Cricetulus griseus: one gene and its partner. The protein of the gene in region 1 interacts with the protein of each later gene in a pairwise test. Links are inferred from orthologs where the notes say so. Each region holds a gene or a part of one and is shown on either strand. Other genes may lie near its edges.

Region 1 (16,560 bases):
CAGCATTCCTTCCTTTTTAAGACTGAATAATATTCAATTACAAGTGTGTACTGTGATTCATTTACTTATTCTTCTGTCAGTGGAACTTCAACTATTGTAATTTTGCTCCTGTGAACATCAGTTTACAAACATCGGTTCAGATCTGTGCTTTCAGTTCTTTTAGGTGTATGCCCAGGGACATTTCTGAATTTTATTTGATTCTATGTTTATTAAGGAAACATTATACTGTTTTCTATAGCAACTGTGTCATTTACAGTCCACTACCAATATATGTTTTCAACTTTGTTACATCCTCAGCAACACATGCTCTTTTTTTTTTTTTTTTTTTTTGAGACAGGGTTTCTGTGGAGTGATCAGTCAGCAAGTCTATAGGGCCAAGGTTTCTTTATTCAGATATACCAGCCAAGCTCAGGCCAAAGCGTGCCAGGGCAGCAAGGCAGCCAGGCCAGAGCGAGGAGGAGGGAGCAGGGAGAAGGACAAGAAGGGAAGGTCCATGTGTCCAAGGTCCCTTAAGAAGCCTTCCCTTCCTACTTCACCTTAGACTTCCCCTCACCACGCCCTCATGGGCGTGTTCCGGCACACCTGTCCAGGCTACTAGGAGGCAGGCTACAGTGTCTTCCTACAGGTTTCTCTGTGTGGCTTTAGAGTCTGTCCTGGAACTCACTCTGTAGACCAGATTGGCCTCAAACTCACAGAGATCCGGCTGCCTCTACTTCCCAAGTGCTAGAATTAAAGGCATGTACCACCACTGTCTGGCTCTTTTCTCTTTTCTTGATGATAAAGACCCAAATGAATGAGAAGTAGCATCTCATTGTGGTGTTGTTTTGTTTTATTTTAGTTTTTGTTTGTTTTGGTTTTTTTTGAGACAGGCTTTCTCTGTATAGCTTTGGAGCCTATCCTGTCACTCGCTCTGTAGACCAGGGTGGCCTTGAACTCACAGCTTCTGCCTCTGTCTCTGCCTCCCAAGTGCTGGGATTATTCAAGGCATGTGCCACCAACACCCAGCTGTGGTGGGTTTTAGTTGGTTATTTTTTTATTGTCTTATGTTTGTTTGGGGGGTTGTTTTGTTTGGTTGGTTGTTACAGGGGTTCATGTAGCCCAAACTGGCCTACACTCACTGTATAGCAAAGGATAATCTCCTGCCTTTGTCTCCCAAGTGCTGAGATTATAGGCATGTGCTACCAAGTGTCACCCTGTAGCCTAGACTGGCATCACATTCAAAGCAGTCCTGACTCAGCCTCCTGAATACCAATATTACAGACATGATCCAGCATGTGTGGCTTTGTTGGGGGAGTGAATGAATTTGTTTGTTTGGTTTGAGTCAGGGTCTCTTGTAGCTCATGCTGGCCTCAAACTTGCTATGTGACCTTGAGTTTATGATCCTCTTGCTTCTGTCTCCTGAGTGTTGAAATTGCAAGCATGCATCACCATACACCTGTATTACAGAGTGCAGAGGATAGAACCCATGTCTAAATGCATACTAGACAATTACTCTTATAAACTGAGCTGCATCTCCAACCCCTTCATTGTGATTCTGATAGTGTCTTTCAGAAAAGAGTACTTTATCGTGTTTAATTCTGCTATTGGTCATGGCTTAAACCCTGTGTTGGGCACTATATTTTCTAAAAAATAATGTGAATTTGCATTTCTGCCTGTCATAGTTATAAGACTGTTTCTTCTGTTCATTGGTAACATGTAGAAGTCTTTGTTTCCTCATGTTAGCATTTAAGATGTTAAGAGGGCTTTGTTAGCTAGCATTTAACAGAAAAAAATTGAAGGGATACTGATAAATTACTTTTTAAAATACTTGAAAAAGTTTGTGACAGGGTTTCATTTAGTCCAGAACCCATACCTAGCTAAAGCCTGCCTTTAATCCTAGCCTCCACTTCCCAAATGCTAGAACTATACCTGTGTACCACTGAGATATTTTACTTTATTTATTGTTGTTTGTACATGCATGTGTATATATGTGTGTGTGCATACAAATGTACCATGGTGTGCATGTGGAGGTCAGAGGACAATACTTGGGAGTTGGTTCTTTACTTCCACCGTGGGATCTGCTGATAGAACTCAGGTCGTCAAGGTTTGCATGGCAAGTACTTTTGCAAAACCAGAAGTTTCTCAGCCTGACAGTTTACTTTTATGTGTGTGTGTAACTGCAAGTGGCCTTAAACTATGTGGATTTTAAACATTCTGTGGACTTCATAGTATGTAAAAATGCAACTGAGGACAGTCATTTCTGTGTGTAGTTGAATTGATGAGTTAATATTTTGAAACAATCAAATTTCAAGTGTTTCTTTTCCTGTTTTCTACCATTTTCATGAAATAAATGAAGTAGCCAATGGCTTCTAATTTTTCCTAGCTTAATACAGATGCTGAAAGAGAAGAAGAAGAGTTTGAAGACAACATGGATGTTTTCGATGACAGCAGCTCCAGCCCTTCTGGCACTTTAAGGAATTACCCACTTACCTGCAAAGTTGTTTATTCCTATAAGGTTTGTATCTCTGCCATATATTGGTGATAGTAAATTATGACAACTCTGAGAATTCATGATCCTCTGCTTACATTGTGCTGGGTGGCATATAGTTGCCATCTGTTGATAGCAACAGGACATGGTAGTGAAATGTTGGGACTCTGCCATTGACTTTTCTGCGTAAAACACTGTCTCTAGCTGGATGGTGGTGGCACCTGCCTTTAATCCCAGTACTCAGAGACAGGGGCAGGTGGATCTCTTAAGTTCAAGGCCAGCCTGGTCTACAGAGTGAGTTCCAGGACTGTCAGAGCTATGCAAAGAAACCCTGTCTCAAAAAACCACTGTCTCTGCTGCTCTGGGCTACCCAACCATACACTGGGTTTCTGCAAGACCCAGTGCTTTGTCTTAGGGGTTTCTTGGTTTGTTTGTATGTTTTTTTTGTTGTTGTTGTTGTTTATTTTCCTGTATCATAGGAACAGTATCTACTTTGAAGACTAAGTAACACTTCCATAGCAAAGCACTGAGCATGTACCTGGCATCTCATAAACTCTCAGTGGCTAGAGAGTTCATGCCCCAGGTTGGCATAGACCTTCCATTAGGATGCCCCCCAAGATTGAGACCAAAAGAAAAATGTCTTATAAAGTGATTGTAGGAAAAAATCCAGCCCAGTAGCCAGTGGCTGAAGTTCAGACTCCAGGAGCACTCAATTCCTTCCCCCTGAACATCTTTGGTACTGCTCACTCCTTCTGCCTAGAACTCTGTTTCCTCAAGTCTCAGCTGCCTACTTCTCTCCCTTGGAGCCCTGCTCAAAAAGCACCTTCCTTGCAGGAGAGATGGCTCAGCAGTTAGAAGTTGCCCCTACAGAGGACACAAGTTCAGTTCCCAGCATTTACATAGAGCAGTTCACAACCACCTGTAAGTCCAACTCAAGGCTTCTGGTCTCCAAGGGCAGCTACACTTATACAGATAATTAAAATAAAATAAATTTTTTAATCAAAGCTAACCTGAGCTACACAGAGAGTTCCAGGCCAATCTGAGTCAAAAAAAAAAAGAACAAAAAATAAAGGTAAAGAAAGAAATAGGGGAAATAAGGAAAGAAATAGCACAGTAGATTCATTGCCATCACCATATCCTATTATCAAGTGCTGTTTACTCTGCATAACTGTATGTGCCATACTTCTGTATGTCTGGCAACACAGGCTTGTTCATGCAGTAACTGCCACAAGAATGAGTAACGTGTTGCACTATAGTATCATGATGGCTACAACATGGGTGACAAAGTTTTCATCTCCATTATAATTTTATTTTTGAGATGGGGTCTCAGTCTATAGTCTATGTAGAAAATACCTTCACACTTGGGGCAATTCCCCTGCCTCCACCTCCCAAGTGCTAGGACTACAGACAAATACTACCATGCCTGACTTTTATTGTAATCTTACAGGACCATTACATATGTTGGGTTGTCCATTGTTGATCATAACCTCATGAAGCATATAATTGAACATGTGTGACCAGCTAAACTTTATCTTACCTATGTTCCTGTTTCTTTGTATGGCTCCTCACTGAAGATCCACGGAAACAGAAACTTTGTGCCTTATCTGTGTGTGTTCATCACCTGTGACAATGCCTGGGCATAGTAAATAATTGTAGAATGGGTAAATTAATGATACAAGGATGGCATGAACAAATGAATCCTCTGACCCCACTGTGATAAAACACAGTAGAAGAGGATAATGCCAAAGATGATGAGAGAGTATGGAGAAAATTTTCCAGCTGTTGTCCACTGATTCCCAGCTCAAACCCATGTGCTTAATGTTGACTACATATACTACTCAATACCAAGAATTCCTGGGCTTTTTGAGTTTGTCACATTCATTAAATTCAAACACATAATACTTCTTGTTTCCTTCTTGTTATGATAATCTTCTGAAATTTGAAGTCATCTTCTGAGATATTTAGAAAGGTCTTCCAAGGTATAAAGCTAAAGCTTCAAGTATTTCTCTCTTTTTTTTGCAATTTTTTTTATTTGAATTAGAAACAAGATTGTTTTACATGTCACTCCCAGTTCCCTCTCCCTCCCCTCCTCCCCTACCATTCCCCCCCCCAACTAAAACCTACCTATCACATATCCTTTCTGCTCCCCCTGGATGGTGAGGCCTCCATAGGGTGTCATCAGAGTCTATCATATCCTTTGGGATAGGGCCTAGGCCCACCCCCGTGTGTCTTTGCTCAGGGAGTATTCCTCTATGTGGAATGGGCTCCCAAAGTCCACACCTATGCTAGGGATAAGTACTGATCTACTACAGGAGGTTCAAGTATTTCTTGGTGTTACTTCTTTTTGTTCTATTTCCTTGAAAGTTCCAGAAATAAGATTTGTGATACTTAATGGAAAGTCCTAAGCCCCCACCCAGCTAATTTCAGACACTCACATTCTTCCCCATCTTTTCTTTCTGCTGACATATCTGGTCTTTTCCTTATGGTAAACCAGAGTAGGGAAATCTGTCTAAGGATCAGAAGTTTGGCTCAGTAGTAGAGTGTTTCACTCTCATGCAAGGCTCTGGGTTCAAATCTCCAACCCTTGGCCCTATGCTTGATTCCCAGAATCCCCAGGATAGAAAAAGAAAACTGATTCCCAAAGGGTGCAGACATACATGTAGGCAAAACTCACATAAAATTTGTTAAAAAGAACTGGGTGTGATGGTGCACACCTTTAGTGCTAGCACTCTGAAGGCAGAGGCAAGCAGGTCTTTGTTACAGGCCAACCAGAGCTACGTAGTGAGACCCTATCTCAAAAACAAACAAACCTTGTTATAAATGTCAAATACAAAGGAAGAATACCAAGTTGCATGTGTGTCTCCAATATCTCTATACACATTCTTCAGCCTTTCAACAAGCGTGGATAAGCGTGACTTTTAAAACCAGGAAAGCAAAATACAGGAAATTTAAAAATAGGTGGGAATGGATTTCTGACTTACTGAATATTCAGACTTAAAGGACACAGGATTGAGATTGTATATTTAGTAGCCATTTATTAATTACTTGCTATCTGTAGTTGGGATGAGAGAAGAAACAGCCCACTTTAGGTCATTTTGGTAGGAAACCCACAGGGATGAACAACTAGCTGTAGTGCCATGCATGGAAGTCAGTGTCTGAGAGATGCAAAGGTCTCACCAAAGTAAAAGGGAAGAAGCAAGCAGCTCATGGTAGCTGTCCTGTGAAAACATATGCACTGCACCACAAATCACAAGTAATAGGAAGAACTACTCTCTATTTACTTATTCTTAATTCAGTAACCCTATCAGGGAAATATGTGACTACCTCCATGTACCAACAGTGCTTTTTTTTTCTAGTTTCTGGAATGTGGCACTGACCAAAAACCTCTATGCCCTTAAGGGACTTTATATTCTAGTTGGGGTGGGGTGGGGTGGAGTGGGAAGAAACCTAAAGACCAAAGACATCTTTTTTTTTTTAAGAAAAATCAATTTTATTTTTTATGTATATTAGTGTTTTTGCCTGCATGTGTGACTGTATACCACATTTGTGCCTTGTGCCCACAGAGGCCAGAAGAGGGTCCACTGGAACTGGATTTACAAACAATTGGGAGCTGCCATGTGGATGCTGCAAATTAAACCTGGGTTCTCTGCAAGAGCAGCTAGTTCTCTAACAGCTGAGCCATCTCTCCAGCCCCTCAGTGACATCTTAGGGTCATTTGCCCATAGAAATAGACTGAAGCTGAACTTATACTCAGCAGTCTACGGTGGTGGTGCACACCTTTAATCCCAGCACTTGGGAGGCAGAAGCACACAGGTCTCTGAGTTCAAGACTAGCCTGTTCTACAAAGTGAGTTCCAGGACAACCTGGGCTACACAGAGAAACCCTGTCTTGGCAAAAACAAACAAAGAAACAAACAGAAAACAAAAAGATGGAGGAGAGCTGTCAGACAGAACAAAGGGAAGAAACAGAAGCAAGGAAAAGCACAGTGTGCTCAGAGAGCAGGAATGAGTATGCTGGCTCAAGGCTTTGAGAAGTTCACAGGGCCCACTCATGGTAGATCTTACACACTTTACTCTAGTGCTTGATTCTGTTGGCCTACTGCTGTGAAGCTGGACAATCCACATGGACCTCCATAATTGGTCACAGGACAACAGCATGTTGTACTCTGTCCCCTCCTGCCTTGTTTTACACACATTCAAGTCTGGTTGTATTGATATTAAGTCTTGCCATGTACTTAGGAAAATGACTTCATTACAAAGGTGCCTTTTGCTAGTGGTTTTGTTTGGTTGTATTTAGGTTTTTGTTCCTTTGAAACAGGGTGTCACTTTGTAGCTCAGGCTGACCTGGAACTCCTCTTGTCTCAACCTGGGATTATAGGCATGTGTCACTCTGCCTGGCACACAATGTAGTTTCAGAGTAACAAAAAATTCCACAGAAAAAATATTAAGAGAAAGAGTAGAGGTTTTCTTCATATTTTGAAGTCAGAAATAATCTACTTAAAATCTGTCATTGGAGCTGGTGGTAGCCATTGATCCCCACACTTAGGAGGTAGAGGCAGGGGATCTTTTCCAGGACAGCTGGGGCCACTCAGAGAAACCTTGTCTCAAAAAAAAAAAAAAAAAAAAAAAAAAAAAAAAAAAAACTGTCGTTCTAGTATTCTGAATAGGTTGTTCATCTTCAGACCTGTTTCTATGTCAGGAAGCTATGCCATTGTCCATAATCTGGGTTTTGATGGGATAGGAAATGGGTCTTAGGAAGTGACTCACTTTCAACAACAGTTGTGGTACAACTCAGTAAGTGGATACAAGAGGATCAGAAATTCAAGGTCTTCAAGGTCATCCTTAGCTTCATAGCAAAATTGTAGGTCAGCCTGGATTACATGAGAGGCTAAATCCCCACTCCCAAGAGAAGAAAATATGACTCACTTTATTATTTTCTATTTGTATAATTTGGAACTATTCTATACTTGAGACTGAGATCTGAATCATGATAAAGCCTTGTGTGATAGTGGGACTTGGGGAAAGTGTTGAAGGCTTTTTACTAGAGAACTAGAAGACACATGTCACATGACAGACAAGACTCTTCAGGAAGCCTTGGTAGAGGCTCTCTCTGTGGAGTTCCCTCTGGAGTATCTTGAATTTCCTCCAGGGTCTGTGTCTCAAAAGCAGACCATGGTGGTTGCCAGTTGAGACAGTAAAGCACTTCAGCTAGTGCAGAAACATTCATATGGATCAGCCCCAGTCTCCACACTCAGTCATTGGCTTGCTTACTACTTCCAGTGATTCCAGAGGAGCCCCAGGCGATGCCCAAGCACTGCAATCCATGTACATAGTGTCTGCGTTTCCACTGCATGCACTTCCATGATAGCCTCTGGTGGAATTTCATTCAAGTGCCTTCTCTGTTACTTATGCCTCCCAGGTCATCTTGGTTCTGTGTTTACTCTTGCCACATTGACCACCATTCTTAGAGAATGGTTTGGTTGACATTTGGAATAAATGGAGGCATTATGCTGAATAAGCAAGCTGGAGCCAACCTCCAGGCCCTCTGCTTCCAGCATTGCCCTCTGCTCACTGAACCTGATTACCTCCTGAGGATCCAGTTTCTGTTGCAGTTTTGTTTAATTTTCCAAAGTAAAACTTCACCTCATTATGATAGTTTTACAACACTAAAATTTCATTTCTCAGAATCATCTCAATATTTTGATCCCTGGCTTTTGTTATGACCAGCTCACATCTGCTCTTTATCTAACCTTTTTGATTTTGTCCATGGCCATCCTACATTGCAGGCTTCTCAACCAGATGAGTTGACCATTGAGGAACATGAGGTGTTAGAAGTGATTGAAGATGGAGATATGGAAGACTGGGTAAAGGTATATTCCTTTGCTCATATCACCCCTTCTTGTGATGTTTTAGGCATTTATTTTGGTTCTTGGTCTATTCCATCCAAATTGTGTCTACAAACTTGTTTTTTTCCCTTGTCTTTTAACCCAGGCTCGAAATAAAGTTGGACAAGTGGGTTATGTTCCAGAAAAGTACCTACAATTTCCCACTTCAAACAGCCTACTGAGCATGCTGCAGTCTTTGGCTGCTTTGGACAGTCGGTCACACACATCCAGCAATTCCACAGAAGCAGAACTCATTTCAGGCAGCCTCAATGGAGATGCTAGCGGTAAAGACTAAAATAAGACACTTAGTCTGGTCACAGTTGTGACCTAAACTAGTACCTGGAAGTTACTAAAGCCTTCAGTAGGTTTAAAAGCACTTTATGTCCTATGTCTTCCTATATTTGATAGCACTAGTCCTGTTTAGTAGAAGCTTACAGTTACTTTCAGTGAGTAAAATCTTAAAACTTAATCTTGTCTTGTATGATGCTCAGTAGTTGTCACGGAGCAAAAGAGAGGCTGTGAAATCAGTCCAGGTGGCTAGACATGGTGTGTGTACACCTGTTATTCTAGTAACTGAGAGTGTGTTGCAAGTTTGAGGCCAGCCTGGGCTATAGAGAAGACCTTGTCTTAAAGTCTAGGGCAAAGCAGTACATTTGTATGTTCTTACAGTTCATCTTTCTCTTGCTTCCAGTCTGTTTTGTGAAAGCACTTTATGATTATGAGGGCCAGACAGATGATGAGTTGTCCTTTCCTGAGGGAGCAATTATCCGTATCGTGAACAAAGAAAACCAGGATGACGATGGCTTCTGGGAAGGGGAGTTCAATGGGCGAATTGGCGTTTTCCCATCGGTGCTAGTGGAAGAACTCTCAGCCTCAGAGAATGGAGACACTCCTGGGACAAGAGAGATCCAGGTATGTGAGAGGGAGAAAGAAAGATAAACCTCTCCTTCATTCTGTTCCTTAATAGCCTGATGTCTGCACAACTGAATTTGAAAAACTAGAGGCTTGTTAGGACTTTGTAGAAAATTACCATCTTACATTCCATTCTCTTTCCCAAATTGTTTTCTCTGAATTCATTAAAATACTAAATTTCATATGACATTTAGAAAATGATTTTGCTGCCAGGCAGTGGTGGCACACGCCTTTAATCCCAGAACCCAGGAGGCAGAGGCAGGCGGATCTCTATGAGTTCGAAGCCAGCCTGGTCTACAGAGTGAGTTCTAGGACAGACTCCAAAGCCACAGAGAAACCCTGTCTTGAAAAACAAAACAAACAAACAAACCAACAAACAAAACAAAACCGATGATTTTGCTGGAGAGAAAGAAGCCAGGGAGGAAATGTGTTGTCTCCAGCTAGCTTCCGTAGTATGGCCCTTAGCTGGCCCTTCTACTTCATGAGACCCCTCTCTCTCCCAGGTTCTACCAGAGCTCTAAGGGGCTCAGTTTCCTTCACAACAGCTAAGTGTTATTTTACAGGAAATTGTCAGTTTGATTTGTCCTCTTTAGAGATCTGTTCCAGCAGGCCTGGCAGATAGAAGGGTAAGGCATGTGACCATGACTGCTTAGTCTGACATGTAGAAAACCTAGGGAAGTCAGTCAGAAACTCAACCAATGATTTTTATCTTCACACACAGACACCATCTGTCCCCCATTTGTTCTTCACAAGTTTAACTGAATTGCCTAATGGAAGAACCCCAGAGAATGGTTTGACTTGGCAACTGTTTAACATAAACTAGAATCAATGGAATAATGAAATCTGAGAGGGAAGTGTTAAGTGCAATACAAAGTTGAAGCTTCAGAGTTTATTGTATGCCCATTTGCTTCTATGAGGCTGACAAGTATTAACAATTATAACTTAGCTTCAGAGAAAGGGAAGGCATACTGAGCAGTGAAGCAGCCAAGCTCTTCTTCCTGAGGAGAGCATCTAGTAACTGTGCCTCCTTTATTACAGATCTCTCCATCACCCAAGCTGCACACATCCCTGCCTCCACTGCCGCTGTATGACCAGCCTCCCAGCAGCCCGTATCCCAGTCCAGATAAGAGGTGCTCCCAGTTCTTCCCCCGGTCTCCTTCAGCCAATGGTAAGCATCCTGAGCACATGCCCACAGCACTCACGTCTACACTAGTATCTTTACTGTTCAGTTATCAACCTCTTGGGTTCTCTCCCTCAGAAAACAGCCTTCATGCTGAATCACCAGGGTTCTCACAAGCATCAAGGCAGACTCTCGACACCTCATATGGCAAGCTGCGGCCTGTAAGTCTCCTATTTTAAAGGGTTGTAGAGTGCATAGTTCTTCCAAATTGAAAGTGAGAAATTCACACACACACACACCACCCCCATGGTCCCTGTTGTTACCAATCTGCCATGCAATAGTTTGGAGAAGTAAAAGCTATTGGAAAGAGGCTATAAAATAAGCTGGATGTAGTGGTGCATGCCTTTAATCCCAGCACTCAGGAGGCAAAGTCAGGTGGATCTTTGTTAGTTCTAGGATAGTCTGATGTATATAGCAAATACCAGGCCAGATGGCTTAGCAGTTAAGAGCACTCACCTCTACTGCAGAGGGCCTGAGTTTGGTTCCCAGCACCAACATACATGGTGGCTCACAACTATCTGAAACTCCAGTTCCAGAAAGTCCAGTGCCCTTTTCCAGCCTTCTCAGTTACCAGGGAGGCACATGGTACAAATATATGCATTTAAGCAAACACTCAGACACATAAAATAAAAATCATTTTTTCTTGAAAGGAAGGCTATAAAATAATGGATCTAGTCTACATTGGAACATTACTCACTGAGCCAGGGGCGATCAAAGAGGGTAGCCATGCAGTGCTTAAATACAAACATAACACAATTGTGAAGTGAAACAATTTCTTACCATACATTTATTAAGAACCCATTTTTCAACCGAGCTGTAGTGGTGCACACCTTTTGTCCAAGTAGAGAGGCAGAAGCAGGTGAATCTCTGAGTTTGGGGCCAACCTGGTCTACAGATCAAGTTCCAAGACAGCCAAGGTTCCATACCAACAGCTCCCTCATTCATGTCTTTCTCCTGAACTTTGGCTTGTGGGATCACAGCTTAGATGCACCAGACCCACAAACTCAGCAAAATGGAGTTAAATCTCTTCTCTTCTGGACATGTTCTCTCTCCATCTTGCCTGTGTAGGTGAGTGGAAGTCACTCCCTCCAAGTCTTGGAATCATTCCTGCTGCCTTATGGGTCCCAGTCTCCTATCCCTCAACACAGACACTTACCAGAGTAAACCAGCTGGGTTTACTCTCAGAACCTTCTGATGCTCTGTACTGTTCAGGTTGACATCAGCACTCATCCAGATGACCAGGATATGTCCTACATCATCTTCAAAGTATACATGCCTACCTACAGTCTCTTCTCAAGCTGTTGAGTCATGTTTTCCCATCCAGATCTGGCACTTCTTAAAACTAACCAAAACCTCTGTCTACATATAAAACCCAAGTTTCTTGTTTCTTTTCTTTCTTCAACTATTTTCAGTGTTGGGATTGAACCCAGGGCCTTGAGCCTGCTAAAACACTCTTCCACTAGGCTACATTCCCAACCCCATGTTTTTTGGTTTGGTATGAGACAAAATCTCATGGTATGCCCAGACTGACCTCCATCTTTCTGCAATTCTCCTGCCTCTACTTCCTGCATGCTAAGATTACAAGCATGCACCACCATGCTTGGCTATCTAGGTTTCTTACTGTAAAGCCCTTTACTACTTGCCCCAGCCCATCTTCCCAGCCTCCCTACCTGTGGCTATCCTCAGAGACATAGTGAGCAGTTCCACTCTCTACACTGTGTCTTCTTTTTGCTACCTCCAGGCCTTTGCTTTGGAGAGGGGTTTTAGGGCTATCGAAGCTTGTGTGCCTTAGGACATCCAGCCTAACAAGCAGTCTGATGTTACATTTCATGCAGAACAGTGCCTGCTTTTCAGGGTAGGTAGCACATGGAAAGCTGGGAGCATGTCCCAGACCCCCGGCTGTCACTGTCTCTAAAGAGGGGCATTAGAGCTTTCCATGTGGCGGGTTCTGAGTCAGGAAGCTGACTGACAATCCTATAACTGTCTCCCGCTCAGGTTCGAGCGGCACCCCCACCACCCACACAGAACCACCGACGGCCAGCTGAGAAAATGGAGGATGTGGAGATCACACTGGTGTGACAGTGGGTTTATTTTCCGTTATTGCTACAATCAAGGCCGGGCTTGGAGTTTGGCCAGTCGTTTTTAGGCACCTTTGCATGATGATGACTCTGGAACAGAGCAAAACTAAGGAGGATTCTATGTGACTGGTTGGCCTGATTGTGCCTTTTTTTGTTGTCATTTTCTATGTCATCTCTTCTACCATAGCACAAACCATAGCGGGTCCTAGAAGCAGATGGGAGCAGCTCTCATGCCTTATGGTGGCCCATTTTTATATGAGACTCAAGGCCAGGCCCAGAATTACTGATCGTGTGCGCTTGTACAGTATATTACTGTGGTCACAAGGCTGTGGCAAAGATCTCATGTTTCTTAAGTGGATTTTGCTCTTCTGATTAAGTATTAATCAGATTATGTTCCCTATATAAGGAAGCAAGAAGGATCCAGGAGAGGCTGGCTCCTCCCTGAGCTTCATTCCCATACTGAAGATGCAACCTTACTGGGAAGAAAGTGGACTGACTGCCTAAGCTTAGCGCCAATTGCATTAATGCACATCTCTTCCACAACTAACAGATTAAAATAACAGTGTCCTTTGTATTAATATTTATGCCATTCATTTAGTATTAGTGGGCTAACCTGAAGGGGCTGAGGCCACGTCTTGCCCATTACCTAGACTAGTAGAGGGAGGTTATGGCAGAAGCAGAAGTGGAGCTTCCAGATCTGAAATGAGCCACTTTAATGTTCTTTTTGTCTTTTGGGTGTTTTCCCTCTTGGTTTTTACAGTGTATGCCCTTCTGACCTTTGAACCCAAGTGTCTGGCTGCATTGAGGACACAGGCCTACACTGGGCAGCTCCTCTACTGGGAAGGCCCTTGTATTATTTTATCTCCAAGCCAGAGTACTGGCCCAGATATCAGGTTGTGATTAATGCAGAGCAGCTGTCACCTTCAGCAAGTGCAGCTTCAGGTCCTGCTGCCCTGACATTTGTCTGGGGTGAAGAACCTGTGGGCCCTGGAGGAAACCTGCTTTCTGTGGAACAGATAAAGGACTGCACACCTACACAGGTGAAACCAAGGAGACCAGACCTTCAGGTGGTGGGAGAGCCATGTGCCGTTGCCTATGGCACAGCAGCAGGCCTGAAGGGCTGCCCACACTGGACTGTAGGTCTTCTTGACCTAGGGAACAAAGTAATGTTTGCCAATTCTCTTTACCTTGGTTGGGGAATGAAATTCACAGATTTAAAGGTTGTACAATGTTTTGAAATTTCCATCTCTCCTGAGAATCTCTAAAAACTTGAAATGCTCACATGTCCCCGTGGGATTTTTGACTGATACCAGAGCTGAAGGGGTTGTCAGTCATTGACCACTTTAGCAATGATGCTCTGATGAATCTTCTCCATGAATTTGGATTTTTGTTTTTTGCATTTCTTTATCTGTTGATCTATTTGAGGTCTTTTTATGTTTATCAAACTTATTCTTAAGTTTAAAAAGTTAAAAGGGTGTTTTAAGATTTTTCAAATTTGCTGATCTTTAAAGTGCTTATAATAGAGCAATTCCTGCCACCCAGTCTCTTATTCTCTTCAGCTAACCAAATTGTGCTTGATTTGAGTTTCCCATAACCTCAGAGTTATTTGAACTCTTTTGTTATATTTTAAAATATTTTTTGGAAGAGCTGCTAATTTTATTTTAAGGAACAAAGTTGTAAAAAAATATGCCTCCTTTTTAAAAAGTAATCCTTCTCTCCAAGCTGCATAACCCGGCATCACCGTGCACAGGTCAGGGCTCAGAGGAAGCCTCCGTGCAGATGCGCTTTCTTTACAGTGGCTGTAAAAAGTTTGTATTTATTATGTATAAAATGTTGAATAATAAAAAATGAAATTAAGTTTTCCAAGTGTCCTAATAAAAAAATAATGGTTGATTAATCAGGCTTTGAGAAAGAGTGGAAAGGGGAAAATGCTTCTTACAAAAACACTACTGGGCCCTGCTTAAACTACTTCCCCTGTGCAGAGAGCAGGAAGGGAGTCCACCCAGGCAACAAGATCCTGATGCTGTTCTTTTTTAGCAAGAGGAAAAAAACAGGTAATATATTTGAGGCCAGGACTACTAGCCATGCTGGTGATCTAGTTACAAGATGAGCTCCTGTGGCTTACAAACAACCACAAGCCAAGGACTGAGAACCCAGCCTGGGTGTGGAGGAGCTCACAAGTTACATATATGATACGTATCATATGTAAGTGTGCTTGTGCCACAGCACATATTTGGGGATCAGGACAGTTTTTGAGAGATGGCTTTCTGAGCTCTTTGCCCAAACAGGTCTCCCGTTTTTGTTATGCTGTGTACTCCTGGACCACCCATCTTATAGAAGCTAGGTCACTGTGTGCTGCCTTTCTTCCCTGTGGGTCCTGGGAATTGAACTCAGATAGTCAGGCGTGTGCAACAGGAGCTCCTACTCACTGAGCCATCTCACCAGTCACATTGTGTCATTCAATTGTTTGGCTATGTAATAACCTAATCATTCCTTTTGTGAAGAGCGTTTAAGTTGTATCCAGCCACTTGCTCCTAAGAAATTGAAGCTACTATCACTGTGTATACTTCTTTATAAATTTGTTCCATGTAAATATTGGGCAAATTCCTAAATGTAGATTTTGACAGAAAGGGTATATATTTACATTTGTTAGATTTTTTTTTTTTTTTGCCAAATTGGCCTCCAAAAGAATTGCATCTATTTATTTGCATTTCCACCACCAGCATGTGGAACAACATGGATTTGGAAGTCAGGTATGGGTCATTAAATCCTGGCTGAGCCACTTGGGGCAGCCATAAAGACTGACCCTGTGTCCTACAGCTGAGAAGCCTAGATCCCGGAAGGATACAAAGTATGCAACACAGAGAGGCACACAAACACTGCCTACACTACCATCTCTCAACCTTCAGTGTCTTCAGGGCGATGGGTCCTCTTCCATTCCCTTGCCACACAGTAACCCACAAGAACAAGGTTTGAAGTGCTTTAAGTCTGGAAAAGACTGTAAGGACATATTTTCTGCAGTGAAAACAGCTCACTTTCAAGTCTGACTTTAGTCTTGGAGATCTGGTCTTCATCTTAGGTCAGAGTTCACCTAGTTGTCCTATCCCAGTGCCATCCATGTTGACTTCCTTTGTCACAGGAACTGATCAAGCCGCCAAACCATAGACTCACTGTTGATTACCTGGGCCCTGCCTCTCTGAGCCCAGGTTCATATGTCAGAGTCACAGTAGGAGGCTGTTATCTGGCTTTAGCCCTGCCCACTGCCTAATGGGACATCTTTCCATCCTCCCCTCCCAAGCTATTACCCCACCTTTAAAAAGGATGCAATGAGCTGGGTGTTAGTGGTGCACGCTTTTAATCCCAACACTCAGGAGGCAGAGGCAAGCAGCTCTCTTTGAGTTTGAGACCAGCCTGATCTATATATCTATTTCGAGGATAGCCAAGGCCATACAAAGAAACACTGTCTCATAAGACAAAAACGGGGCTGGAGAGATAGCTCAATGGTGAAGAGCACTGGCTGCTCTTCCAGAGGTCCTGAGTTCAGTTCCCAGAAACCACATGGTGGCTCGCAACCACCTGTAATGAAATCTGGTACTCTCTTGTGGCCTGAAATTATACATGCAAACAGAACACTGTATTTATAATAAGTAAAATCTTTTTTAAAAAAATGCAATGAAGGTGACTTCAGTGGGCTTATCCAGCTTCCTGCTAGATCAGTTAAATTATTCTAGATGCAGCGAAAGGGGAAGGAAGAAAAGTAAGGAAGGAAATAAATTCAGGCCTGGACTCATCCCCAGAGAGACAATTATTATGTTCAGTATTATGATACCACTCCTGGGCTGCACCAGTCCCAGCCACAGCTCTAGGATGTGGTTCTAATTACTACCCAACTCCCTCTTGACTAGCCTCTGACAATATCTAGCTGACTAAATCTTCTGCATTTATCGTGAGTTGGTGTGTATATGTATGTGTCACTTTTATGTCAGAAAACGGAGAATTGAAATTTTCCTGAAATCCTGCAACATGACATAACCAGTTT
Region 2 (16,560 bases), on another chromosome or scaffold:
TGTGATAGGAAAGTCTTTCAGATCAGTCTCTGCTCCTTGGGGGTGAGGAAACTGGGAAGTGTCTTGAGTTGATAGACCCATCCTCTTTAAGCCTCTTAATAGAAGTCAAAATTTGATCTGACAGAAAGCTTGACTTCTTGACTTGTCACAAAACAGTTCCTGAGAAACATTTAGATTGTTTAAAAGACAGTTAAGAGAATTTTGTTAGAGACAAGACAAGCTGATGTTGCTTTGTGTGAATTAGACATCATATTCTCCCTTCATTTTTGCAGTCCATGGTGTTGACAAGGATAAGTATGTCAAAGGTAGTTCTCTGATTACCTCCTGACATTAGAGGAATGGTTATCATCACAGCTGGGGCCTTCTTCAGACATGAGATGATCATAGTAACTCTTCACTTGGTAACCTCCTAGTGAGCTCCCCCACCCCAGCAATTCAAAAACACCTGTGGTAGATAAGGGCAGTGAACCATGGAACTTGCCAGAGTAGATCCACTGTGATAGGAAGGCCATGTTCCTAACTGGAGCTGTCCTCTGCCCAGGTGCCATTCGCGCCTTCTGGCCTCAAGGTGCGCTACTTGAAGGTATTTGAACCGAAGCTGAACTACAGTGACCATGATGTCATCAAATGGGTGCGATACATTGGCCGAAGTGGCATTTATGAAACCCGCTGCTAGCTGCCTAGTGGCAGCTGGCCCACCTCCCCACCCACCCTTTTCCACAGGTTCAAGTACCCCAGTGACCACTCGTCAGTGTCTTTCCTCCCTCCTGCTTTGCTGCCTTTCCTTTACTCTAGCCCCTGAGTATAGGTCTGAACCAGCCACAGTGGGACTGCTGAGGCGGTCCCCAGCTTCCTGGGCAGGGTGGTTTTTGAGGCTTCTCTTCCATCTATCTGTCCTGGCTTAGTACCAGGCCCTGAGTTTTGTGACCAAAGTCAGGTGGCCCCCTCTCCTTTCTACCCTTGTGGCCACACCTCTGCAGTAGGATGGTTGACAACCCCTCACCTCAGAGCTCCCCTAAAGGCCAGTAACAGATCCCCAGCCCTTAACCCCTACTCTGCTTTGGGATAGTATGCTTTGTTTTGTACACATGTGACTTCGTCCAGTTATAAACCCAATAAACTGTAGAGTGGAGTTGTTGGCTAGTGTTAATGGGGCTGTCGGGGAGGGTCTGGTGGGCCTGTTAACTCTGTGTAGCCCTGGCTGTCGTGGAACTCTGTGTGTGGACCAGGCTGGCCTCAAACTCACAGGGGTCTGCCTGCCTCTGCCTTCTAAGTGCTGGGATTAAAAGTGTATACTGACATGCCAAGCTTTGTTTTGTTGAGTCTTGCCACATACTGCCCTGGCTGACCTAGAACTTACTATAGACCAGACTGGCCTTGAAGTTTTGGTGATCCCTTTGCCCCTGCCTCCCAAGTGCTGCTATTACACACATGTGCCTCCACTCCAGGCTTTGTTTGCTTTGAGCTGGGTTTTCATTGTGCAAGCCCAGTTGGCTGAATTCAGGATTCTCCTGCCTCCACCTCCCAAGTGCAGTGTTGCAGATGTGAAGTTTTCTAGTTAGCATATATCAAGTAAGATTTGTATTTGTGTCGGGCGTTGGTGGCACACGCCTTTAATCCCAGCACTTGGGAGGCAGAGGCAGGCAGATCTCTGTGAGTTCAAGGCCAGCCTGGTCTCCAGAGCGAGTGCCAGGATAGGCCCCAAAGCTACACAGAGAAACCCTGTCTCAAAAAAACCAGGAAGGAAGGAAGGAAGGAAGGAAGGAAGGAAGGAAGGAAGAAAGAAAGAAAGAAAGAAAGAAAGAAAGAAAGAAAGAAAGAAAGAAAGAAAGAAAGAAAAGGAGCAGTATGTGCTCTTAACTACTGAGCCATTTCTCTAGTCCCTAATTGTGTTTTAAGACCATGAGTATTTTGCCTGCATCACATGCATGCAGTACTCTTCAATGCCAGAAGAGGGGGCATTGGGTCCTCTGAAACTGGGGTTACAGAGCAATGTGAGCAGTCCTGTAGGTTCTAGGAAACAAACACTATCCTTTGAAAAAGCAGCAAGTATTCTTTACTTCTGAGCCTCTCTCCCAGCCTCTCGGTTTTAGTGTGGTGTGTGTGTGTGCATGGAGAGGCTCAGAGGTCAGTTAGGAGTGTGTTTCTCAATTGCCTTCCACCTTATTTTTCAAGTCAGTATCTCACTGAACCAGAACTCTGATTTGGCTCAGCTGACAGCTTCTAAGCCCTAGGGATCTTCTTGTCTCTGCCTGCCCAGCACGAGATTACAGGTGTGTGAGAAACGTATTCCTCACTTCATAATAAGGATAACAAAGCAAAGCAATTTATTTTTTGACCTTGAAGAATCTGTCATCAGCCTGGAGAAGAGGCAAACATGGCTGACTGGCACTCTGATTTGGCACTAAACAGTGGTTTTTGGAGTCCCTGATCTGAAAAACTAAAAATCAAAAAACCCCACCGCAAACCTCCATCTTCCTGGACTGGAGATCCCTCCCCATTTTCCTGATAACATAGGTTCAGTTATGTAGCTGACTGACTTCTCATCCCTGAGGAAAACTAAGGTGCTAGCTAGGGAAAGAAGGACTCCGTGCCTCCTGCTTATGTGTGACTCATTGATGAGCACTAAGTACACCTTATACTGAAAATAGACCACAGTGACATTATTTTAAAGATTTATGTATTTATTATAAACACAGTGTTTTACCCACAGGTCAGACAAGGGCACCAGATCACATTATGGATGGTCATGAGCCACTATGTGGTTGCTGGGAATTGAACTTAAGTCCTCTGGCAGAGCAGCCAGTGCTCTTAACCACTGAGCCATCTCTCCAGCCCCCATATCGACATTTCTTACTAGAGACTTTGTCTTGGATCAAACTCAGATCCCTATGCTTGCATACCTATCACTTTACTGAATCACTTCTCCAGCCCCTTATCTGTATTTACTGTGAAATGGTTATTAGATTAGATTTAGAGGCTCAGTTGCTGGCTTTGTAGCTGTGGGTGACCTTACCTCTCTCTCTCTCTCTCTCTCTCTCTCTCTCTCTCTCTCTCTCTGAGACAGGGTTTCTTTGTCTTGGAACTCTCTATAGACGGTGCTGGCCTTGAACTCACAAAGATCCACCTCTCTCTGCCTCCTGAGTGCCAGGACATTGAATTCTTGATCCTATCACTGCCTCCTGGATGTTGGGGTTACAAACATATGCCACTGTGCCCAGTTTTATGGGTACTGTGGATCAAACACAAAGTTTCAGGCATAGTAGACAGGCATTCCACCAACAAAGCTGTATCCTCAGACATACAGATAGCTTTCCTAAACTTTAGACACCAAGACTGGCTCCCCATTGCAGTAATGCTTGGTAAAGATGGATGAGTGGGCAGACAGGGCTTTTCTTGTCTCCCTCTTCTCTTCTGTCTCCGTCTGTATCTCTTTACCTCTTTTCTCTTTCCCCACCCCCTGCCCTTTCTAATAAATCTTGTCACTTTAAAAAAAAAAAAAATGGCTGGGCGTTGGTGGCGCCTGCCTTTAATCCCAGCACTCGGGAGGCAGAGGCAGGCAGATCTCTGTGAGTTCGAGTCCAGCCTGGTCTACAAGAACTAGTTCTAGGACAGCCTCCAAAGCCACAGAGAAACCCAGTCTCGAAAAAATCAAAAAAAAAAAAAAAAAAAAAAAAAAGATGAGTGGCCAGTCCAGTGTAGTGGCACACGCTTTTAATTCCAGCACTTGGGTGACAGGCAGGAGGATCAGGAGTTCTAGGTTAGCTTGGACTGTCTAGGGAGGTTCTCTTAAAAATTAATATGGGTGTAATTTGGGCGTATTAGGAAGAATTTTTGTTTTAAGAATAAAGCAGTAGTGTTACCACAACGTCTACTTGACAAAATCGATGGGGGGGCGTCCTTTTACAGACCCCAAGATTCAGGGTGTAAGAAAACCTGCTTTGTCTGTAGACCTAGTATAAAAATTTTATAAAGGGCTTCTTGTTGACCTGGCGGTGAAAGAACAGAATAACCTATTTCTCAATGACTTGGTTGAACAACCATGCACAGAACAAAGCGGCAGGAAGGCTAGGCATCACTAAGCTGATTCAACTAACTGAACGAAATGAAACTCAGACTCAGTCCTGAGTCTGCTCAGTCCTGAGCAGAAAGCCAAGCACTCGAGAGCTGGCGTGAGTCAGCAAAACGCCGTGGCCTAAAGGCTTGGGTGGGCGCACAGCGACACCGCCTGCGGGTAAGGCTCCGCGCTAGCAAAGCGGCCCACTTCAACGACAGTCTGTCTCTAGGTGGGGTCTCTCTCGCGGCACCTTCTGTGCTCCTCGCCCTGATAAACGTAGGGCGACTCCGCCACACCCCTCCACACCCCTCGATTCCATCTCCCCTTTCCAGAAGGCAGAGAAAACGGTACAGGTGAATACAGTCGTGAAACATGAATTGCGCAGGCGCAGAGGTCGCCGTGTCTGCCGGACTTCGCGGCGCTTGCGTGCAGTTCCGCTAGCCACGCCCTCTAGACTCCACGCAGGCTTCTACTTTCTTACGTCATTACTGCGCGTGCGCCCCTGGGAGGAAGGGGGGGTGCTATTCCAGGGGGGAAGGGCAAGAAGGCGGTCCTAGGCCTAGATCTCATCACGACTGCGCAGACCGGACCCCGGGTGAACATGGCGACTTGCGCCGATATCCTGCGGAGCGAGTTCCCAGAAATTGACGGGCAGGTCTTCGACTACGTGACCGGTGAGCGAAACGGAATTAACTGCCCGGGGAGGCCGAAGTGGAGATCTCGGGGGAAGACTGAGGGTGGACAGTGCAGCAGACTGCTACCTGGTCTCTCCTCTGCGTGACCTCTTATCTTGAGGGCCGGTGGGGTCTGGAGCCCCGAGTGGGCTGATCAGACACTGAGACTGCTTGTATATCCGCCCTACCCGGTGTCTTTCTTGTTCTGCGGTACGCGGCCCAGGCGTCTTGCATAGCGGCAGCGCGGACTTCGAGTCTGTGGATGACCTGGTGGAAGCTGTGGGGGAACTATTGCAAGAAGTGTCCGGGGACAGCAAAGATGACGCGGGCATCAGGGCTGTCTGTCAGCGCATGTACAACACTCTACGCCTGTAGGTGCCAAGGGAATGGAGTACAAACTAGTGGGAAGGTCTGAAGGCTGCAAATCTTTTCTCCCAACTGACTGCTTTCTATCCCTACCCACGCAGGGCTGAGCCACAGAACCAGGGAAACAGCCAGGTGCTACTGGACGCCCCCATCCAGTTGTCAAAGATAATGGAAAGCTACGGTGAGAGTGAGGGGATGTTGAACTAGCTGCCTTCTGCCTCCACCCCAGCCACCTGTTTCTTGCAGCTCAGGACGCCCTCCATCTTCTATAACAAGGCTTGTAGGAACTTGTGGTATTTTGTGAATAGAAAAACTTGTGATGAGCCGGGCAGTGCCTTTAGTCCCAGCATTCTAGAGGCAGAAGCCAGCCTGGTCTACAGAGCCAGTTCAAGACAGCCAGGGTATCACTGAGAAACCCTGTCTTGAAGAAAGAAGAAAAAGAAGAAGAAAAAAAAAAAAAAAAAACTCTTGTGATGAAGAGTAGGGTTGGAAGGTTCTCCAAGCTGTGGGCTATAGTAGGAGGTATAGGCCTTGGAGCTAAACATACTTGGTTTTGCCAGTTTTGTATTTTAACCAACAGCACTGTCTTGTAAGAGTACATCAGCCTCTGTATTTAAATGTGAGATCTTTTTCTTTTTTATTTCAAGGCTAATAACCATCTATTCCAGTGCCATAATAGTGTCTTAAAGTTCTATTCTTGGTTCTTGTTAGTCACTCAAAGTCTTCATTTCCCTTCCCTCATGGAGAAGGTGACTGCTTTTCTTATCACTTACAGACTGTGACACCAAACTTCCAGGACTGCTAAAGAGGGAACAGTCCTCGGTGAGGAGCAGGGAGGGGAAGGGGCTGTGTGTCTATGGTGGGTGACAGAGCTGACAGTCTAAACAGTGGGTAAATCTTTGGGGGAGATTTCTAATGTGTCTTTCCTTGAACCTTTGATTCTGTATCATCATGAGTAGGTTGTGAGGGTTTGTTTGAAGTAGTCCCTGGAGTCCTTTTTTGGATCTGTACCCTGGTATAAACTGGTTGTGTTTGGAATTCAATCAGACAGTGAATGCGAAGAAACTAGAGAAGGCTGAAGCTCGACTGAAGGCAAAGCAGGAAAAGCGTTCAGAGAAGGAAACCCTGAAGACCAGCAGCCCTCTGTGAGTTTAAGAAAAGGGCTCAGAAGGGAGCAGGGCAGGTTCTGGTATTGAAGGGTTGTCGGGAGCCCTAAAAACTGCCCCTATCTCCATTTGAAAGAGTCCTGGAGGAGGCCTCAGCTAGCCAGGCAGGCAGCAGAAAAGAGAGCCGTTTAGAGTCATCTGGCAAGAACAAGTCCTATGATGTGCGAATTGAGAACTTCGATGTGTCTTTTGGTGACAGGTGAGGGAATGGTATGATCTTTCTAATTAGAGGAGAATCTGGAGCTATCGAGTGGGACCAAAACAGTGCTAAAGTTCCTCTGCAGCTGTTTCTAGACCACTCTTCATCTCTTTCTACCACCCTTCAGGGTACTGTTGGCTGGAGCAGATGTGAACCTGGCCTGGGGCCGACGCTATGGACTGGTGGGACGCAATGGTCTGGGGAAGACGACGTTGCTAAAGATGCTGGCCACCCGGAGCCTGCGGGTTCCAGCCCATATTTCTCTGCTGCATGTGGAGCAGGAGGTTGCTGGAGATGATACCCCTGCTCTGCAGAGCGTGCTGGAGAGTGACACAGTCCGGGAGGACCTGCTACGGCAGGAGCGGGAGCTCAGTGTCAAGATTGCTGCTGGCAGGTGAAGGCTTCAGGCTAGAGGGTACAAGCAATAGCTGTCTGTCCTGGTTTACTAGTGTTAACTTGACCCAAGCTAGAGCTATTTGGGAAGAGGTACTTCAAATGAGAAAATGCCTTCATCAGATTGATTGATCAAGCCTGTGGTGTATTTTCTTAATTGATAATTAATGTGGGAGGACCCAGTTCAGTTGTGGGTGGTGGCACCCCTGGGCTGGTGGTCCTGGGTTAAATAAGAGAGCAGGCAGAGCAAACCATGAGAAACAAGCCAGTAAGCAGTGTTCCTCCATGGTTCTGCTTCAGCTGCTGCCTCCATGTCCCTGCCCTGACTTTTAGTGTGACCTGAGAGTTATAAGATAAAGTAAACCCTTCCTCCCCAAGTTGCTTTTAGTCTTGGTGTTTTCCCACAGCAATAGAAACCTGGACACTAAGACACTGTGCAGAGTAGCTCCATAATTCATGTGGCCTCCCTAGTGAGCAGCAGAGCTTGGAATTTGGCCTGTGGAACTGTAAAGCCCTCATTCTTCCCAGTGGCCTGCTTTTCAACTTAGAGGGTACAAGACTGCATCTTAGACTGTCTTTATACAAGCTGGTTGGGTCTTTTTCCGTCCCAGGGCAGAGGGCTCAGAAGCTGCACAGTTGGCAGAAATCTATACCAAACTGGAGGAGATTGAGGCTGATAAAGCACCTGCCAGGTACTTAAAATTCCCACTTCCTTTCCTGTCTATTTGCTGTCTTCATTTGAACTCTTCCAATTGGATTCTTGTAATTTCCCTTCACAGAGCATCAGTCATTCTCGCAGGGCTTGGTTTTACCCCTAAAATGCAGCAGCAGCCTACGAGGTGAGTAAACTTGGCCATTTTTGACTTTGAAGACTACTGGCTCTGGCCCTGCTTGTCCTGATGAACACCGAGCCCTAACGGGAGTCTGTTATCATTAGGGAGTTCTCTGGTGGCTGGAGGATGAGATTGGCCTTAGCCCGGGCTCTGTTTGCCAGGTGAGTCTCCTGATCCTGAGAATGTGTGACTGGAATGCAATGGACTGGAATGGCTCATGGGATATCATAACAAGTTTCTTGTCATGGCCTCATGCTGTGTATTTATTCTTTTTCATAGGCCAGATCTTCTGCTGTTAGATGGTGAGTTTGAATGAGCTACCCTGACTTTGGAGCTAGACAAGGATGCTAACATCCTTTTTTCTAGTTCTCCAGCCCTTCATTCCAAGTATGTGTTTCTTGCTTCCTCTCCAGAACCCACAAACATGCTGGATGTAAGGGCCATCCTGTGGTTGGAGAATTACCTGCAGGTGAGTTTTGGGAAGGCTTTACAGTGGGTCTAGAGAAAGTTTGCCTCCAAGACACTGGGGGCCAGTTACCCTTCCAAACAGCCTGCCATTCTGTTATTCCTCAGACGTGGCCCTCCACAATCCTAGTTGTCTCTCATGACCGCAACTTCCTGAATGCCATCGCCACAGACATCATCCACCTGCATAGCCAACGACTAGATGGTTACCGAGGGGACTTTGAAACCTTTATCAAGAGCAAGCAGGAGCGACTACTCAACCAACAGCGAGAGTATGAGGCCCAGCAGCAGTACCGCCAGCACATCCAGGTGTGGTAGGGGAGACAGGACACAGGTCCCATCCCATTGGTATCAGAGTTGGTGGCAGTGAGGGAGCTTGACAAGTGCCTGCTTCTCCTGTAGGTTTTCATAGACCGTTTTCGATACAATGCCAACAGAGCCTCTCAAGTGCAGAGTAAACTCAAGATGTTGGAGAAGCTGTGAGTACAAAGTCCTTGTCCAGAACCAACTCCTCTTCATTTCTTCCCTCGTTTTTTTGTTGTTGTTGGTTTTTGTTTTTGTTTTTCGAGACAGGGTTTCTCTGTGTAGCTTTGGAGCCTGTCCTGGCACTCGCTCTGTAGATCAGGCTGGCCTCGAACTCACAGAGATCCGCCTGCCTCTACCTCCCGAGTGCTGGGATTAAAGGCATGCGCCACCAATGCCCAGCTCTTCCTTTCATTTTATAAACTGCCCTTTATTTATCTTTCCGTTCTGGGCCTTCCTTCAGCTAGCAGCCAACTTTTATTCCAACATAGAAGTAGAGTACTTTCTACTAACCTTGCCTAGGCAGCCACAAATTCAGATTTATTGTCTGTCTCTATATATTTGGTTTGTCTAGCTTTTTTTCTCCCTGTACTGAAGATTAAACCTAGCACCTAGTCCTCACCTGTGTCTAGCTTATTATTCTAGTAGCATGTTTTCTAAGGTCATCTATGTTGTAATGTTAACACTTCGTTTCCTTTCATGGTGACATATGCTCCATTTCATGACTCTGATACTTTTGTTTATTGAGTCAGGTGATGAACTTTAGGTTATTCCTGTATGTTTTTAGGAATAATGAATGCTATATGAACTTTCTAGGAGATGTGGGGGATTGAGACCAGGTCTCAATCTGTAAGACTGACCGCCAGTTCACAGCAGTCCTCCTGCCTCGGCCTCCTGAGTGCTGAGATTACTAATATGAACCACCACAGCTGGCCTGCGATGAACATTTATGTACAAGTTTTTGCTTTTTCCTTTAAAGAATTTTTTTTTTATCTTATATGTGTGTTGCCTACATGTGTGTAAAGGCAGTGTGTGTGTGTGTGTGTGTGTGTGTGTGTGTGTGTGTGTGTGTGTGTGTGTGTGTGTCTAGTCAGGTGCCAGAGTGGGAGGTGAGTCCCTGGAACAAGTTAACAGATGAATTTAAGTGACTATGTGGGTGCTGGAAACCAAACCTGGTTTCTGCAAGTACAGTGTTGCTCTTAACCACTGAGCCGACTTTCCAACCCCCTGTGTTCAAATTCCTATGCAGACATTTGTGTTACTTAGGTTCATATCTAAGAGTGGATTTGCTGTTTCACATGGTAATTTAACTTTTGAGGGTTTTGCTGTTGATGATGATGATGATGATGATGATGATGATGATGATGTTATTGTTGAAATGGAGTTTCACTGTGCAGCCCTGGCTGGCCATGAACTTGCTTTGTAGACCAGGCTAGCCTGGAATTCACAGGGATCCCTCCTGTCTGTGCCTCCCAGGTGCTAGAATTAAAGCATTTGCCAACACAGTTGGTCCTAATGTTTAACTTTTTAAGGATCTGCCAAACTAGGTTTGTTTTGAGACAGTTTTGTAGCTCAAACTAGCCTTACTTTTTTGTTTGTTTTTGTTTTTGAGACAGGGTTTCTCTGTGTAACCATTCTGGCTGTCCTGGAACTCACTTTGTAGACCAGGCTGTCCTGGAACTCACAGAGATTCATCCACCTGCCTCTGTCTTCCAAGTGGCCTTGAAGTCTTACATAGCCAAGGATGACCTCGAACTCCTTCCTGGTCCTCCTACCTCTACCTCCCAGGTGCTGAGATTATGGGCATATGTCTCCATTCCTGGTTTGTGTAGTGCTGGAAATTGGATCTGAGACCTGTGCACACTGGGCAAGCAGTCTAGTGACTGAGTTGCATCCCTAGACCCCCTTCCAGACCAATTCAATAAAAGTTTATACGTTATTTTATATTGGATATACTTAATACAAATCTCACTAAAAATGAATATAAGACATATCAGACTTCTTTTTGTTACTTTTTTTTTCATGATTTTTTCTTTTTTAAAAAGAGATCATAATCAAATCATTTCTCCCTTCCCATTCCTCCCTCCAAACCCTCCCTTATACACCTCCTTGCTCTTTTTCCAATTCAGCCTCACTTTTCATTAATTGCTGTTACATGTGCATATGTATATGAATATATTCCTAAATATAACTATATGTCCTAAATATAATGTTACTGTATGTATGTTTTCAGGGCTGACCGTTCGGTATTGGATACCAACTGGTGTGCTCTTCCCTGGGGAAGACTATTCCTCCTTCTGTCGGCACTCCTTGGTTGCCTGTAGTTCTTGGTATAGGGTTTAGGCCTATACTCACTCACACTCACAATAACTCTCTCACACACACACACTGGTATGTCTGTTGGCGTCATTTTTGTTCAGCTCATGTTTGAGCAGTCATATTGTTGAGATTTTATGGGTGTACTTCTGACATTGCTAGGAAACAATCTCGAAGCAAACTCCCTGCTCCTCTGGCTCTTAGGATCTTTCCCCTTTCAAAAGGTTCCCTGAGCCTTAGATGCTGGAGTGCTTTGTGGATGTATCCATTGGGACTCAGTTCTACAGCTCTACATTTTGATTGGTTGTAGTTCCGTAATGGTCTCTTTCTGTTGTTGCAAAGAGAAGTTTCCTTGATGAGAGGTGAGGCTAGACCTTAGAGAAGGAATTGGAAAGTCTGGCTTGGTGAATATAGTTGGATGTGATGCAGAAGGGACCTGTAGGTGGTTTCAGGTCCAGACCAGTCTTGTTGTTTTTAGTTGGAGACAGTTTCTCACTTTGTAGCCCAGGCAAGCCTTGAACTCCAGGTGCATTTGCTTCCCATGAGCTGGAATCACTTCCACCACTCTTGGCTTGCCAGACTGTTTTAAAAACAGGTGCATTATTTTATATGCCTCCTCTAGGGTGTGGGAACTGTCATTGTCCCATGTCTTTGCCAGCACTTGCTCTTAACGCTTGCAGTCTCAGCTGCCCTGGTACATGAAAAGCAACATCTCATTGTGGTTTTGATGAGCAGTTCTATGACTAATGAAATTGCTCATTGAGGGTTTCATCTTGAAGGAGACTTTCTAGAAATCCTGGGAGAGAGAGTAAATTCATAAGGCTTAACAGCTCTGACATGGAAACATTTATTACTGTATATTAAGGGTAAAAGCTACCAAGACAGACTGGAGCTGGGGCTGGGGTTGGGGCAGGGCACAGACTCATAATATCAGAATGAGTGAAGGCTGAAGCAAGGACTTCAAGTTCAAGGCTGGCTCAATCAAGCTGGTGAGACCTTGCCTCACATGTACAACATAAGGGAATAACACAAATCTAAGTTTTTAAAAAGCTGTTGAAAGGTGGGGTTTTGCTGGGGGTTGTTGTTTAAATTGGGGAACCGCTCGACTGGGAGACAGTATCTGTGGCAAACCTGTTAGTCCTCATTTCATTCCCAGGACTCAGGGTGAAAGAGGGGAAGAGGCTCCAGACTTTTTCTGGGTTTTTGTTTTGTGTTTTAAGACAGAGTCTCACACAGGTCTCAGACAGGGCCGGTCTGGAATTCCTATATAGTTCAGGCTGGTCTCAAACTCACAGAAATCCATCTGCTCTGCCTCCCAAGTAGTACAATTAAAAGTGTATGTCACCATGCCTGGCAAATAAACATCATTACAATTTTTTTTTTAGAGTGGGAGTGATGTCTTAGCAGTAAGAAAGCTTGTTGCTCTTGCAGAAGACCTGGGTTGGTTCTCAGCACCCACGTGGGGTTCTCAGCACCCACGTGGCAGTTCACAACTATTGTAATTCTGGTTCCAAAGAAACAGACACCCTCTTCTGACCTCATGGGCACTGCATACATTCAGCACATTTACATTCATGTAAAACACCCATACATATGAGAAAATAAATTTAAATATTTAAAATTTTTATATTTATATATTTTTAAATATTTACTTTTTTGTTTTTGTTTTATTTTTTTGTTTGAAACTACATATACTCTCTATGTAGTCTTAGCTAGCCTGGAACTCACTATATAGAACATGTGAGGCTTGAACTCAGCAACATCTGCCTGCTTCTGCTTCCCAAGTGCTAAGATCAAAAGCATGCACTACTCCACCCAACTTATATTTTTTTAATTTTTAAAAATTTTATGTGCCTAGGTGTTTTGCCATCATGGGTGTCTGTGTGAGGGTGTCAGACCCATGGAACTGGAAGTTATAGACAGTTGTAAACTGCCATGTAGGTGCTGGTAATTGATCTGAACTGAAAGAACAGCCAGTGATTTTAGCCACTGAGCCATCTCTCCAGCCCCAAGTTTGTTAGTTTGTTTTTAAGCAGCAAGAAAGATGATTCTTTTTCTTCCAGATAGTGATCTAGAAGAATACATTGTAGCATTAGCCAAGTGAAGGACATACAAGTCTGTTTTCTCCAAGCATTTACTTGTGCAAGAAGAACAGATTTTCTTGCTAATTTTTGTCATTTTCTTGAGTCGGGGTCTCACTACATGGCACAAAATATGTAAGTTGGCTTTAGCCTCCTAAGTGGCAGGGTTATGGGCGTTTTACCACATACACCATAAAGTTGATTGTTTCACTTCTTTTATTAGTGTGTTAATTATATAAGATGGGTTTGTTATATTTTCATACATGATATAATGTAGTTTGGTCATACCCATCTGGCATTGCTCTCTGTCCCCCTCCCATCTATCTCTTCTTCCCAACTCAGTTCCCCCTCTGCTTTGATGTCTTCTTGGTTTTTGGCAAACCAGTTAAGTTTTGTTGGCTTGCTTACAAGAGCGTGGATGAGGTGTTATTTACAGAAGCAAAGGCACCTCACTAGTGGCTTCACGCCTGCAGAAAATCTCACCCCCTCCCCCAGCAACCACTAACTGCCTATAAATCCCCAGCGGTAGGACCTCATGACAGGACACTGACAGGCCCAGTCTCAGGCAGGTCATCCTAACAGTCATGCCACACCCAGCAGACTATCCCATAGCACCCACCACTTCACCACACAACCCCACCCTGTCCTCCATTCTCATTCCTTCTATGCTGTCTTCCAACATGTCCCTGAGCCCTTGAGGGAATGTCACATCCTGTCTGTGTCTGGGTACTTACCAGTCGCTTGTCCTCAGCACTCTGTCCAGTTTTGAGTCTGCAGTTACTACTTTCAGAACGAAGCTGCCTGATCATTTAGAAGGCACTTTCATGGGCAAGTGATGACGATTTAACATAGTTGTAGCTTCCACACTAGAGCTTGTGACCTCCCTGGCCACAGGTATTGATCTGGTTTGTAGCACAGACACGAGTTCCGCCTGTGGAACAGGCCTCGGTTCCAATCAGAGAGCAGCTGGTTGTCCTTTAGTGGCCTTGACAATGGACACACCTTGCTTGCTTGGCCAGTCAGTAGTGTAGCACATAATTCCGTGGTTAAGGAAAACTGTTGGTGGCAGTTCACACCCAGCAGGCTGCTTAGCACCTCCCAGCCCTGAGGGCTAGCCAGCTTCATCTCAGTTGTCTTGCTTTCTTTGTTCTGGAAGCAGCTTCTGTCTTGCCATGTGTTTCTGCATAAGGGAGTTCTATACTCCTGTCATCGTGGTCTTTATACTGGCACCTCTGTGTGTGTGCGCATGTGCACACATAATAGGGTCCGGACCACCTTGTTCTGCTGAGCCGCTAACTATTGCCTGTATTGTTCTGGGTCTTCAAAGGCCTTCCTGACCAACTACTTGTAGGGAGCTATACGAGCCCTGGCACTGGAACTTTCTTTAATAACCTGTGACTTCTTGGAGCAGCTGTAGCCACACAAACAGGGAACTTCGGTTTAAACTTTTTTGTTTTTTAATTAGCCTATAAAGTATGAGGCTTCCTTGCCGCTTTTCCATACATCCTTAGTTTTTGTTGACCCTTCCCTCATCTTCCTGTCTCCTTTCCCTGCTTAAACCTTTCCACCCCCAGTGTTCTCCTTCCCACTTTCACATCTTGCTAAATAATCATTTTTCCATCTCTCCTCTCAGACCCGAGCTAAAGCCGGTGGACAAGGAATCCGAGGTGGTGATGAAGTGAGTGCTAAGCTGGGGAGCTGAGGGGGAACCCCTGTTTCTGGCTGCCTCCACACTCCATACTTGCACCTCCACAGGTTCCCTGATGGGTTTGAGAAGTTCTCACCACCAATTCTGCAGCTAGATGAGGTGGATTTCTACTATGATCCTAAACACGTCATCTTCAGTCGTCTGTCTGTCTCTGCTGACCTTGAGTCTCGAATCTGTGTGGTATGGTCACTCTTCTGTTCTATGTCCCGGGAGATGTCTACCTTAGCAAGCTCAGATTGGACCAATCCTGAGAATAGAGAGTACAGAGAGTCATACTTAACACTGTTGCTGTCCTCTGTAGTCTCACAGGCCACCTCAGAGATAGAAACCCAGCATGTGGCATTTTGTGAATATATAGAACAGTAATTTATCTTACTGCTCTTGGTTCTGAATCATGTCACTCATGAGACATTAAAGAAAGAACATAGATTACAGGACAGGATTTAAAATATGCTGTTCTATAGCTTAGCTTTAGGAAATTTCCTTTTCCTCAGAAGGGAGGTCAAGGTTGGGGAAAGAGCTCAGCAAGTAGAAAGTGATTTCTGCACATATGTGAGGGCTAGAGTTCAGTCCCCAGAACTCACATATGGTTGAGTGCTCATTGCACCCCTCATAATCCCTGTGTGCAAGGGGCAAAGACGGAAATCATCAGAGCAAGATGGCTAGCCAGCTAGCACAATTGTGAGCTCTAGAAAAGATGGAGGAAGACATCTGACATTACCTTGCGCCTCCACATGCACACATCTATACCCAGACATGAACCCCTACACAGGGATACACCACTTGTGGTTTCCCGGAGCAGTAAACCTCGTCCCTTGGCAAGTACTCAAGTATCAGTTCCCTTTGTAGCTTTGCATGTGATAGTTCTTAGAGTTTTTGGTTGTAAGACTGGGACTACCCAGGGCCCCTCTTGCTTCCTTCCCTTCTGTGTCCCACACATGTAAAGTCATTAAACATGCTCCTGTTTATTACAGGTTGGGGAGAATGGGGCTGGGAAGTCTACTATGCTGAAGCTACTCATGGGGGACCTGGCTCCTGTTCGAGGTATCAGGCATGCCCACCGGTAAGGGATCTCCCCCCATGAAATGCCTGTGCTCTCATCCACATTGACCTACCTATGGTACTCCACAGCAGTGCCTTCTGTTCTCATTCTGCCTCCAGGAATCTGAAGATAGGCTATTTTAGCCAGCACCACGTGGAACAGCTAGACCTGAATGTCAGTGCTGTGGAACTCTTGGCTCGAAAGTTTCCTGGTATGTTAGGGATAGGGTTTGCAGCAAGAGTGTTTTATCTGATCCTTGCATCTAGGCCCGTCTTGGGTCATTATTAGGAACTTGCCTAAGTTTAGGTATAAAAACATAGGTACTGAGGAGGAGAACCTAGGGAGTAGCAAAGGCATTGGGCCAAGAGCCCATCTGATGTGGGGGCCTTTTCCAGGGCGACCTGAAGAGGAATATCGACACCAGTTGGGCCGGTATGGCATCTCTGGAGAACTGGCCATGCGCCCGGTTGCGAGCTTATCTGGGGGCCAGAAGAGCCGGGTAGCCTTTGCTCAGATGACCATGCCTTGGTGAGGCTTATTTTCTTGGGTTCTTGTTTCTCATTTCCCCTTCTTGCCAGTACAAAATGACACTTTGATCTTTGTGCCATAGGAATTCATTTTCTCCCATCTTGTAACTTCTGTGTTCTCCCTTCCAGCCCCAACTTCTACATTCTAGATGAGCCCACAAACCACTTGGACATGGAGACAATTGAGGCTTTGGGCCAAGCCCTCAACAACTTCAGGGTGAGCATGTCTGGCCTGACTGTTCTTCCGTGTGCCTCAGCATACCTCAGTATCTATTCCCTCGAGCACTTCTGGTCTGTCTTTCAGGGAGGCGTAATTCTGGTATCCCATGATGAGCGCTTCATCCGGCTGGTGTGCCAGGAGCTGTGGGTGTGTGAGAAAGGCACTGTGACCCGGGTTGAGGGAGGATTTGACCAGTACCGTGCCCTCCTC

Evidence for each region.
Region 2: the proteins of Fchsd2 (region 1) and Abcf3 interact in binary tests that used the Homo sapiens proteins (3 or more experiments, as listed by UniProt). The two-hybrid records come from large-scale screens. The link is inferred for Cricetulus griseus from reciprocal best matches to the Homo sapiens genes FCHSD2 and ABCF3.

What each region holds. Positions count from the first base shown.
Region 1 is NC_048596.1:98,230,771-98,247,330, reverse strand, and holds the end of Fchsd2 (F-BAR and double SH3 domains protein 2), read left to right. Parts: intron 1-2,362; coding exon 2,363-2,494; intron 2,495-8,252; coding exon 8,253-8,336; intron 8,337-8,457; coding exon 8,458-8,635; intron 8,636-9,042; coding exon 9,043-9,263; intron 9,264-10,301; coding exon 10,302-10,431; intron 10,432-10,521; coding exon 10,522-10,604; intron 10,605-12,438; coding exon 12,439-12,522; 3' UTR 12,523-13,281; coding exon of another isoform or gene 13,282-13,296; 3' UTR 13,297-14,383; downstream 14,384-16,560. UniProt on the Homo sapiens protein: Adapter protein that plays a role in endocytosis via clathrin-coated pits. Contributes to the internalization of cell surface receptors, such as integrin ITGB1 and transferrin receptor.
Region 2 is NC_048597.1:68,079,112-68,095,671, reverse strand, and holds the start of Abcf3 (ATP-binding cassette sub-family F member 3), read left to right. Parts: upstream 1-4,573; 5' UTR 4,574-4,658; coding exon 4,659-4,731; intron 4,732-4,954; coding exon 4,955-5,102; intron 5,103-5,198; coding exon 5,199-5,278; intron 5,279-5,872; coding exon 5,873-5,919; intron 5,920-6,144; coding exon 6,145-6,242; intron 6,243-6,339; coding exon 6,340-6,462; intron 6,463-6,589; coding exon 6,590-6,856; intron 6,857-7,441; coding exon of another isoform or gene 7,442-7,466; coding exon 7,467-7,547; intron 7,548-7,634; coding exon 7,635-7,694; intron 7,695-7,792; coding exon 7,793-7,849; intron 7,850-7,967; coding exon 7,968-7,990; intron 7,991-8,101; coding exon 8,102-8,157; intron 8,158-8,261; coding exon 8,262-8,462; intron 8,463-8,555; coding exon 8,556-8,632; intron 8,633-14,486; coding exon 14,487-14,531; intron 14,532-14,608; coding exon 14,609-14,741; intron 14,742-15,535; coding exon 15,536-15,624; intron 15,625-15,722; coding exon 15,723-15,814; intron 15,815-15,998; coding exon 15,999-16,131; and 4 more. Other genes in the region: Ap2m1 (AP-2 complex subunit mu), read left to right, coding at 542-676.